Linked DNA regions of Sus scrofa. The protein of the gene in region 1 interacts with the protein of each later gene in a pairwise test. Links are inferred from orthologs where the notes say so. Each region holds a gene or a part of one and is shown in the gene's direction. Other genes may lie near its edges.

Region 1 (3,571 bases):
TCCAACTGGCATCCACGAGGACACAGGTTCGATCCCTGGCCTCACTTAGTGGGTTGAGGATCCAGCATTACCGCGAGCTGTGGTGTAGGTCACAGACGTGGCTCAGATCCTGTGTTGCTGTGGCTGTGGCGCATGGATGGCAGCTACAGCTCCTATTTGACCCCTAGCCTGGGAACCTCCACATGCCGTGGGTATGACCCTAAAAGCAAAAACAAAAGAGTATTCAGAAATACTGGAAAAAATTCCCCAAAATGAAATAATAACTGAATTTGTAGGCTAAATGAGAATAACTTACACTAGGAGAAAGAAATGCAAAATAAGTGAGCTATAGATACTGATGCATATTGATATATATGTATGTACATTATGTATCCTTGTTAAAGCATAAAGTATAGAAAAGGATTCTTTGAGGGTTTAGGTAGAAAAATCAAATTACTTACAAACAGGAAAAAAAATCTACTTGACTCAGTCTCTACTAAGGCAACATTTGATGACAGAAAATTATGGAGAAATGTCTGTAAAGATTAGATGAGGAGAAAATGTGATTCAAGAATAATCCGGAGTTCCCGTCGTGGCACAGTGGTTAACGAATCCGACTAGGAACCATGAGGTTGCGGGTTCGGTCCCTGCCCTTGCTCAGTGGGTTAACGATCCGGCGTTGCCGTGAGCTGTGGTGTAGGTTGCAGACGCGGCTCGGATCCCGCGTTGCTGTGGCTCTGGCGTAGGCCTGTGGCTACAGCTCCGATTAGACCCCTAGCCTGGGAACCTCCATATGCCGCGGGAGCGGCCCAAGAAATAGCAACAACAACAACAACAACAAAAAAGGCAAAAGACAAAAGACAAAAAAAAAAAAAAAAAGAATAATCCAATAAGAGTTTCCATCGTGGCTCAGGTTAACAAACCCAACTAGTAACCATGAGGTTAGGTTGCAGGTTCAATTCCTGGCCGCCCTCAGTGGGTTAAGGATCCAGCGTGGCAGTGAGCTGTGGTTGCAGACGCTGCATGGATCCTGCATTGCTGTGGCTGTGGTGTAGGCTGGAGGCTACAGCTCCAATTAGACCCCCAGCCTGGGAACCTCCATATGCAGTGGGTGCAGCCCTACAAAGACCGAAAAAAAAAAAAAAAAAAGGAATAATCCAATAAAACCCTTGTGACAATAGAAAAGCAACAAGAAGATACTCTAGTAAACAACAATAACACACATGGGCAGTGCTGCTAAAAAACAGTACTATTCAACCATAAATGAGGTAAATTAAATCAAGAATTCAGAACGGCCAGGGAGAAGGTGTGTAAGGAGATTCGTGAAAAGAACAGAAATTGGGACATGAAGAGATGAAAGGAAAGATGAGAGAGAACACATGAATGCTAATTACACATGGCTTCTATGTCTCGGCTGTTGTGAAAAGTTCTGCCATGAATACTGGAGTGCACGTATCTTTCTGAATTACGGTTTTCTCTGGATAAAGGACCAGAAGTGGGATTGCTGGATTATATGGTAACTCTATTTGTAGTTTTTTAAGGAACCTCCAGACTGTTCTCCATATTGGTTGTACCAATTTACATTCCCACCAGTCTACTACTGCCTCAAATTAAAACTTGTAGGTTTAAAATGATGTTGATTCTTCATGGATTTTATAAACTTAATTTGACTTAACTTCTTTTTATTCTGTTAAAATCAAGTAATACTTTTACTTCAAAACAGGAAGTACAAAATGATTCTATTCTTAAAGAGTGAGGTTGCCTCTGTTGCTCATTCTCTCACCCTCTCTTACTCTCATTTTTCCTCTCTTGTTGTCACTCCATGCATCCATTTTTCTATTCCCCTTTTGCCCATACATAGAGTTTGAGAATAACAGGCCTGAGATGTTAATTTTGCTCATTTCCGGACAGGGGCATTTGGAAGGATGGGTTGTGTTCTATATTGCTTGATTTAAAAAAAAAAAAAAAAGCAGATAAGATTTTATTTAAAAAGAAAAAAGAAAGCCACTGCAAAGAAAAAAAAATCTACTTCCTTTCCAATGTTTCTAAATAAAACAGTCCACTGGCAAAAAGGAAGGTCTTCTGACATTTTAAAGAAATTCCAAAATTAATTCACATTCCCCTGAAATAAATGTGTGAAACAGTGGAGAAATAATCCTGGAGCAAGTGAACTACAAGCAAGAGCATGTTTGACGAGTCAGTAACACTTGGAAGCCTGGGTGAGACCCTCCTGATGAGTTAAAATTTCAGTGTGTTTATTTCCAATTTCAGCTTTCTGGAAAAGGCATTTCAGCCATGCTGATTATCTTCTCTCTCTTGGAGTTCTGCATAACTTGTGTCACAGCCTATTTTGCCAGCCACACCATCACCAACACCAGTGGGGTGAGTTGGGCCGCTTCTCTGTAAAATAGTCTGAGTATGTGCTGGAGAAATACAGACTGCAGCATCAGCTAAGTCCCACTGAGGGCTTATCAGAGGGCTCTTTGTCCTCAACTCTGATAGGACCAGGGTGGGGGTTCTGCGTAGGATTGTAGTAACAATATTACTTGATTTATTCATTCTTTCCAGTCTGTCCTGGTTATTCCACCTGTGTATGCAAACAGTCCCTTGACGACAGGATTGTCCTCAGTTCCTCCCCCAGTTCCGGCCACTTAGCTCACACCACCTAATACCAGTAGGTATTAAAAGAAGAAGAAGCATCCTGCAATTTCATGGGGGTAGAACCGCTCTGCAGAAACTTCTTAAGAAGTTGGTCTTCGCCGTTCACAATGATTGCTAATCTTTAAAGACTGTGTTTCAGGTTCTGTTCTTGGTTTGTCATGAATGAAAACTCTATGGACCTCTCTACCAGTGTTTCTTCCTACATGCCACTACCACGTGCTGGCAAAGGTGAAGGGCTGGAGGACTGGAAATGACTCTGCAACTCTCTTAAAGTTAGAAAATTTCCTGTTAAAGTTACCCTTCCCTCAATAAAATGTTACTAGGAGCATAAACCTTGTTTTGTTTTGTCTTTCTAGGGCCGCACCCACAGCATATGGTGGTTCCCAGGCTAGGGGTGGAATCAGAGCTGCAGCTGCTGGCCTATGCCACAGCTATAGCAATGTGGGATCTGAGCCGCATCTTCAGCCTACACCACAGCTCACAGCAACGCCAGATCCTTAACCTACTGAGCAAGGCCAGAGATTGAACCTGCATCCTCATGGATGCTAGTCAGATTCTTTTCCACCGAGCCAAGATGGGAACTCCGAGCCTTGTATTTCTTTTTTTTTAAGAAATTCTTTTTGTTTGAGATTGGTTTTAAAGCAGTAGATCTGACAAAATACTGCAAAACAGACTGACAAAATTTCTTTGATAATGATTTACAGGGTGCCCAAGTCATTAGAATTCCCTTACTCCTCCCCCTTCCCATTTCTGTCCAGAAAGCAAATACCCAACTGCCCTTCATAGGGGCCATGCCTAGATCCCACTGGCCAGCAATTCCAGTGATCAGCAAGGCTGTGTCCCTCACAACAAAGCTCAGCAGAACAGCTAAACAAAAACGAAGATGTGACTCTGGGGCCCGAGGGTCTAGGAACTAAAGAGTACCCACCTC
Region 2 (3,651 bases), on another chromosome or scaffold:
GGGAAAGGGGAGTGGGCCCCACAGTGAACCTGCTCCTGGCCCTGCTCTCCTCTCCCCGGGTCTCCCACGCCCACCCCTGGGTGGAGGAAAGCGGGGCCAGGAGTGGGTTCACCGATTCACACCTGCGTCCTCCTGTAACACAGCACCTGCAGGGCCAGTGTCTGACTTCTGTTTCCTGGGTGAGCAAACAGGCTGGTCAGCCCCGAGCAGGTACTGTGTGCTAGGCACTGCTGGGCACTGGAGATACAGCAAGGGCCAAAACAAGATTCTTCGGGCGCCTGTGTTCTAGCGGGTGGCCTAGAGTTGCCCTGGGGGAGCTGCACAGAGGGGGCCGGCCCTTGGCCTGGCATCCCTCCAGCTGGATGAAAGCCCAGCTCCTGACTGCCAAGCCCAGGGCTCCAGCTCTCACTTCCTGGCGGTGCTGGGGAAGGAGAAGTGGCCACACCCTCCCCCTCTGTTGTGAGGGAGGGGCTGGTGGGGGAGCCAGTAGGCTCCCCGCCTCAGCTAAGGGTCTTTCCTGCCTGACCCCACACGTGTAGGGGAGCGATGCAGAAACCTCCCTTTGGCCCTTGCTTGGGGTGCTTGGGCAGGTGCCTCGCAGGCGCCCAGCTCTGGCTGCTCTGGGGGAGCGTCCGACTAGGAGCATCTGGACTAGGAGCTTATGGCTGCAGCGGGGACGATGACTTTTTGTCTCAAAAACTGGCAGCCAGAGGTGGGTTTTGCTCCTGAGCCGATTCTCTGTGATCCAATGGTTGGTTCATCCGTGGGCTGGTGCCACACACCTGGATGGTATCCAGCGGGAAAAGGGGGACAGCTTTCTCTGCGTTTTCATCAGTCAAGGAGCCTTCTCCCAGCGGCCGGCCTGGAGGCCTGCTGCCACCCCGGGGGTTGCAGGGAATGAAGACCCTGGTGGAAAGGGAGGATGCCCTGGCTCAGCCAGCGGCGAGGGGGTAGGAGAGGCCCGGGAGAGGTACCACCTGGCCAGGTTCCCCGTGAAGCTCCTCACGAGGGGGTCAGTCACCCTGCCCTGTGGAATTCCCTGCAGCACAGCGTCCCCGAGGTTGGGGTAGTTCCTTTATGTATGTGAACCACGGGTCCTCACTCAGCCCCATGAGCTAGGTGTGCTCAGTATATTCATTTGACAGCTGACGGGACCAGAGCACGGAGTGATTGCAGGCGTGCCCAATGTCACACAGCTGGTAAGGGGAGCGGGTTTTAAATCAGGTGGAGTCCATGCAGCTAGCAGCTACACACACTGCAGGGTTCTTGGGGCCATGGGGTCACAGGCCCCTTGGCTTCTCTGAGGCCCAGTTTGACCTGTAAGACAGGGATGGTAACACCTGATCAGGGGGCAAGTAAGAGAGTCAGAGAAGGAGTTCCCGTTGTGGCTCAGTGGTAACGAGCCCGACTAGTATCGATGAGGAAGCAGGTTTGATCCCTGGCCTCGATCAGTGGGTTAAGGATCTGGCGTTCGTGTGAGCTGCGGTGTAGGTTGCAGACACGGCTTGGGTCCAAGTTGTAGGCTGACAGCTACGGCTTTGATTCGATCCCTGGCCTGGAAACTCCCATATGCTGCAGGTATGACCCTAAAAAGACAAAAACGAAACAAAAACAAGAGTCAGGGAGCTCCCTTAATGGTGCAACAGAAACAAATCCAACGAGGAGCCATGAGGTTGCTGGTCCAATTCCTGGCCTCGCTCAGTGGGTTAGAGATCTAGCACTGCCGTGAGCTGTAGTGTAGGTTGCAGATGCGGCTCAGATCTGGCGTGGCTGTGGTGTAGACCGGCAGCTGCAGCTCCGATTAGACCCCTAGTCTAAGAACCTCCATATGCCTCAGGTATGGCCCCAAAAGGCAAACAAAACAAAAAAGGGCATCAGAGAAGGTGGGGAGGAGAGGGTTTGGTGGAACGTCAGACGGAGGTCACTGCACTCCTGGGACTCTGTGACTGTGTCCTCTTTTAGGGATGTGCTGGTGACTTCATCTTTCAGCCGCTTTTACTAAGCCCTCGGCTGAGCTCAGGTACCACCTATACTGGGTGCAGACAGACAGCTCTGAGTGACAGTCACTGTCCTTGTCCTCGGAGAGCTGGGCAAGCCTGGGATACCACCTTCTCTGGGGCTGCAGGGGTCTCACCCTGGAGGCAGCAGAGGTAGAGTAGCTGGCACGGCTGTGTGACTTTCAGTCTGGAGAAGGAAAGAGAATTACAGTTCTGGGCAGTGGGTGCCTCAGGGCCATGTAGCACAGAAGAGGGTTCTGGAACCCAGACTGGAGAAATGGGGAAGGTGCCCTGGGGCACGTGACATCTCATCTGCGAGCTGAGAGAGGGGTACGTTACCAGGCAGGGGCTTGGTCTATAGTGGTATGCAGTAGGAGCCAAATGTGTATTTCTTGGGTAACCGCATCCAGTTGAGGGTGCCCCATGACCAAGGCCAGGAGGCCTCTGGCCCGGGGCCTCCAGCCTGAGTGCTGGGGGCTCTGGGAGACTCTGGCCCCGTCTCGCCCCCTCCAGGTGCTGGGGCTGCTGGTGTGGGCCCTGATCGCCGACACCCCGTACCACCTGTACCCGGCCTATGGCTGGGTGATGTTCGTTGCTGTCTTCCTCTGGCTGGTGACAATCGTCTTCTTCATCCTCTACCTGTTTCAGCTGCACATGAAGCTGTACATGGTGCCCTGGCCGCTGGTGGTGAGTCTGAGTAGGAACCCTGGGGTGGGCGTGGGGGTTCCAGGCTGACCCCTCTGCCTCTGGGCATAGCTGTGACAATGTGACCTTCCCTAAATGAAGAGTGGCAGGCAGGGGAGGGAGGATTGATGGTTTGAGTGCCCAGTTTTTCTGAGCACTGACAGCCGTGGATCCAGGAGGACACAGGTTTGACTTTCTCTAACGAAGGGAACGGAAATGAGGGACTGTTGAATGCAGACTGGAGGCTGGTGCGATCTCGAAAAGTATTCTTCCTTTGCGGGGGCAGTTGGGATTTGAACCTGTGTGGTAGTGGGTCTGTCTGACTCTGGCTGAGCCCAGATGGGCAGCCCTGGGCCTGGAGGCTGGTCAGAGCTGGCAGGAATCACCAAGGCTGGGTCTGTGTGTGCAGGACGGGCTGGGCGCAGCGTGCTGTTCCCCCACCCTCTAAGCCTATAGGTGAGGCCCCTGCAACCTGGGAGAGGGTGGCGCCCCGGGTTTGCCCAGGTCAGTTCCCTGAGGACACAGAGCTGAGAGCGTCCATAGGAAGTACCCTGGCCAGACACACAAAACTGCTGGGGCTTTTTTCTCCAACCCGGAAAACCCCTGCAGCTGGGGCCTGAGCTCTCTGCGAGCAGAGGGCACGTGATTGGAAGATAAGCAAGGCTGGGACTAGGCAGCATTGTTTGGAATTCAATGACTTTTGAAGCTGAGGAAACGTGAGTCATCCTTAAGACAGAACGGGTTTGTTAGATCTTGACATCACTGGCAGGAGCCAGGTGCTATTCGCGCCGGGTGCTGGGCTTGGAGCGAAGATCCTGGGGTGAGGAGGGGGGACGCCTGATTTCCTGGCCAGGGTCCAGCCCCTGCCTCATGTCCTAGGAGCCTTGAAGAAAGGCAGCCCCGGAGATGGAGGGGCCTTGGTGTCTCTTAGCACAGCTTTGAGGCTCAAGCCGCAGCTCCTGATGGGAGC
Region 3 (3,651 bases), on another chromosome or scaffold:
CTCAGCGGTTAACAAACCCAACTAGGATCCATGAGGATGAGGGTTTGATCCCTGGCCTTGCTCAGTGGGTTAGGGATCCGGTGTTGCTGTGGGCTGTGGTGTAGGTCGCAGATGCGGTTTGGATCCCGAGTTGCTATGGCTGGGGTGTAGGCCAGCAGCTACAGCTCCTATTCGACCCTTAGCTTGGGAACTTCCATATGCCTCAGGAACAGCCCTAAAATAGCAAAAACAAAAAACAAAAAAATAAAAAAACAAAAACCACCTGGTGCTCCTGGGCATGTGACCCTCCCCTCCAGGCCTCTAACTGAGGTGCTCTCTGGTGGACATTTAGTTGCTCCTCTGGACTCACCAGCATGGCTACAAGCCTAGCCCCAAAGCAAACAAATGCAGAGCCCAGAGACAACAGGAAAAAGGTTGGGTTTCTCCACCAAGGGAATAATAAATGGCTGCACAGAGTTGAGAGGTGATGAAACTGAAGCTGTACTGCCCAACTGGTAACTGACTCCAGGGCATCAGTTACCAGGAAGCTCCAAACCAAAAGTCCACAGGGCCAGACAGACACTGTCTGTGGGTGAAGGGAGGCAGAAGGAGCCACAGTGAAAGTGAGCACCAGGGAATGGGCCACGCAATGGCATTGGCATTGGGAAAGTTGGGGATATGGTCCACTGAGAACTCCAGGTCCTCTTCAAAGAGAGAGTCACAACTGCCTTCAGACTACTCTGGCCTTGGAAATGGGTTCTCTGTGGCCAGGATTATAAAGTTCCCAAGACATGTCTGAAATCTGGATTTTTCCTGTGAAATATCCTGTTTCAAATGTTGGAAACTTATTGAGAAATGTTTTTAAAACTTTATATGCCAAAGCTACTTGGGCCAAGGAGACACACATCCCCAGGCCACATTTAGCCAAGCCCTTCCATTGGCACCCTCTGTGTCGACCACTTGAATTTCCTAACAAAATTTACTCTGACTTCGAAGGCCAGCCTTCCTTCCCCATTTCCCTCTTGATTCCCACCTAACTCCGTGTGAAGAATGTTTAACCAGGGCCGGAGGACAACCTGCAAAGGGAAACGTACCCCACACCAGCCAATGAAGCCCCTTCGCCTGTGCTTTTCTCTTACAGGTATTTGGGTTCTGGGTCTGGATCCTGGTAGCCGCCACCCAGGTAGCAAATCCGCTGCTGCAAGGATGGGTGATGTACGTCTCGCTCACCTCATTCCTCATCTCCCTGATGTTCCTGTTGTCTTATGTGTTTGGATTTTACAAAAGATACGAGTCCTGGAAAATCCTGGTAAGAACCAGTGAGAGTGAGCCAGTCCCTGGGACGCCTCCCAAACTCCAGTCCTGGGTGTGCTGAGGACAGTGGACCTCCTGGATGGGGAGGGGGAAGCTGGGACCTTTCCTGGGCTGGACCCTCTCTACCCTGGCTTTTATTTGGATGCGTTTACTACCAGATGAGAAGGAGAGCCTTCCTCTGCCAGCATCCATCCTTTATGGCATTCCACTGCCTTGCTTGTGAGGGATATATGCATCCTGGCTACTCCTGGATCAAACACATCCTGAAACATTTCCCTCTAAATTTAGTTTATGATAAAATCACTGGAGCAGCATTGAAGAAAATGCTAGCAGAAAAAGAATCACCCCAGTCTCAAGGTCCTATCGCAATTGCTGGGTTCCATACTCCTGGCACATTTTTTGCAATATGTAAATATAATCACACTGAACCAATAATTTTGTTTCTTTTTTTCTTTTTTTTCTTTCTTTCTTTTTTTTTTTTTTCTTTTTAGGGCATATGGAGGTTCCCAGGCTAGGGGTCAACTCAGAGTTACAGCTGCTGGCCTACACCATAGCCACAATTGTGTTAATTTCTACTGAACAACAAAATAATTCTTTTTTAATATTCTTTTTTAATGTTATCATCCACATGGTTTATCATATGACACTGAAAATAGTTTCCTGTGCTAAACAGTAGGACCTTATTGTACACCATTTCTATATGTAATAATTTGCATCTACTAACCCCAAACTTCCATGCCCTCCCTCCCCCATCCCTCTCCCTCTTGGCAACCACAAGTCTGTTCTTGTCCATGAGTCTGTTTCTTTTTCTTATTGGGAACCTATAATTTTGGATGTAGATTCTTTGATTTTATATTGTCATTAAGTTTTTTCATGTCACCACATCATCTTGATACCCACTGAAAAATTTTCTATATTGAACAACTCAAAATGGAGGGAGGATTACATTACGGCCCCTCATAATCACAAACCAGATTCCAGTATTTTTAAGTTTTATTACACTTGCTTCACCCAGCCCTTTTTTCCCCTGAAGAATTTTATTTATTTCTTTATTTATTTTTGTCTTTTTAAGCCCGCACCCACAGCATATGGAGATTCCTAGGCTAGGGGTCGAATCAGAGCTGTAGCCACTGGCCTATGCCACAGCCACAGCCACAGCAATGCCAGATCCAAGCTGCATCTGTCACCTACACCACAGCTCACGGCAATGCCAGATCTTAACCCACTGAGCGAGGCCAGGGATCAAACCCACGTCCTCATGGATATTAGTCAGGTTCATTAATCAATGAGCCACAATGGGAACCCTTCCCCTGAAGAATTTTAAAGCAACCCCCATACATCACATCATTCCATTCTACACACATCAGCATACCTCCAAAAAAATACATTAACTTTCTTACATTATTGCACTTACATAAAGTTAATTCCCCAGTAGCATCTAAGACCAAGGTCACATTCAAGGTCCTCTGTTTTAACTGAGACATGTTTTTGCACTTGGCCTGTTTCTACACTTGGCCTCAGGTCCTCACGAGACCCGCTTCCACTTGGTAGTGATGGTTCTTGGGTACTTTAATCTAGAATGGCTCTCCCTGCCAGTTACTTGCTGAAGAAATGGGGTGGTCAGCTGTCCTGTAGAGGGGCTTACATTTGGGAGTTTATCTGTTTGCTTCTTCCTGGTGGGATCTGACTTGCTCCTCTCATGCCTGAGTTTTCTGTAAACTGAAAGTTAGCACTTAAAAGGCCAAAGTGAAGATAGGTTAAGTTTTTCTGGCAAGAATGTTTTGTAAATGGCTTTAAGTCACATCACACACCGTTACTTGTGGTCCCTCTTCCAGTGACAGCCCTACCCCATCAATTTTTTCTCTAATGCTGTCTTCCATCTACTGAGGATCTTTCTGAAAGTGAATGAATATGTCTTCAGGGGTTGCAAAATGCCGATTGGCCTATTATGATGTTCCTTCCAGAACTGATTGTATGACATTTTTGTGGCATTGAAGATATTAGCACAGAGGTTCAAAAATTGAAGTCTAGAGTCGGATTAGCCTACTCTAGCACTTGTCAGCTAATCCTCTCTTTCCTCATCGTAAACTGGGGCTATCAGTCGTAGCAGCCATATGAAATTAGCTGTGAAAATAAAATGACACAACATGTGCACATGGTTAGGACAGTACCCAGAACACAGCTGGGCTTCATAACACTAATGGTTGAGAGCACAGGTTTGGTGTTATTAATGTCACTTGGATTCAAATTCTGGCTCAGGTTTAATCACTGACCTCAACTTTGAAACTTCTTTTTCCTCAAAATGGCGCTAATGATCAATAGTACCTACCTCCTAGTTGTCAAGGTTAAATGAGATAA

The links.
Region 2: the proteins of MS4A12 (region 1) and PLLP interact in binary tests that used the Homo sapiens proteins (3 or more experiments, as listed by UniProt). The two-hybrid records come from large-scale screens. The link is inferred for Sus scrofa from reciprocal best matches to the Homo sapiens genes MS4A12 and PLLP.
Region 3: the proteins of MS4A12 (region 1) and MALL interact in binary tests that used the Homo sapiens proteins (3 or more experiments, as listed by UniProt). The two-hybrid records come from large-scale screens. The link is inferred for Sus scrofa from reciprocal best matches to the Homo sapiens genes MS4A12 and MALL.

The regions. Positions count from the first base shown.
Region 1 is NC_010444.4:11,176,807-11,180,377, reverse strand, and holds the end of MS4A12 (membrane-spanning 4-domains subfamily A member 12), read left to right. Parts: intron 1-2,250; coding exon 2,251-2,361; intron 2,362-2,547; coding exon 2,548-2,634; 3' UTR 2,635-2,972; downstream 2,973-3,571. UniProt on the Homo sapiens protein: May be involved in signal transduction as a component of a multimeric receptor complex.
Region 2 is NC_010448.4:19,220,667-19,224,317, reverse strand, and holds part of PLLP (plasmolipin), read left to right. Parts: intron 1-2,510; coding exon 2,511-2,684; intron 2,685-3,651. UniProt on the Homo sapiens protein: Main component of the myelin sheath that plays an important role in myelin membrane biogenesis and myelination. Plays an essential function in apical endocytosis. Regulates epithelial development through the regulation of apical endocytosis.
Region 3 is NC_010445.4:46,284,689-46,288,339, reverse strand, and holds part of MALL (MAL-like protein), read left to right. Parts: intron 1-1,120; coding exon 1,121-1,288; intron 1,289-3,651.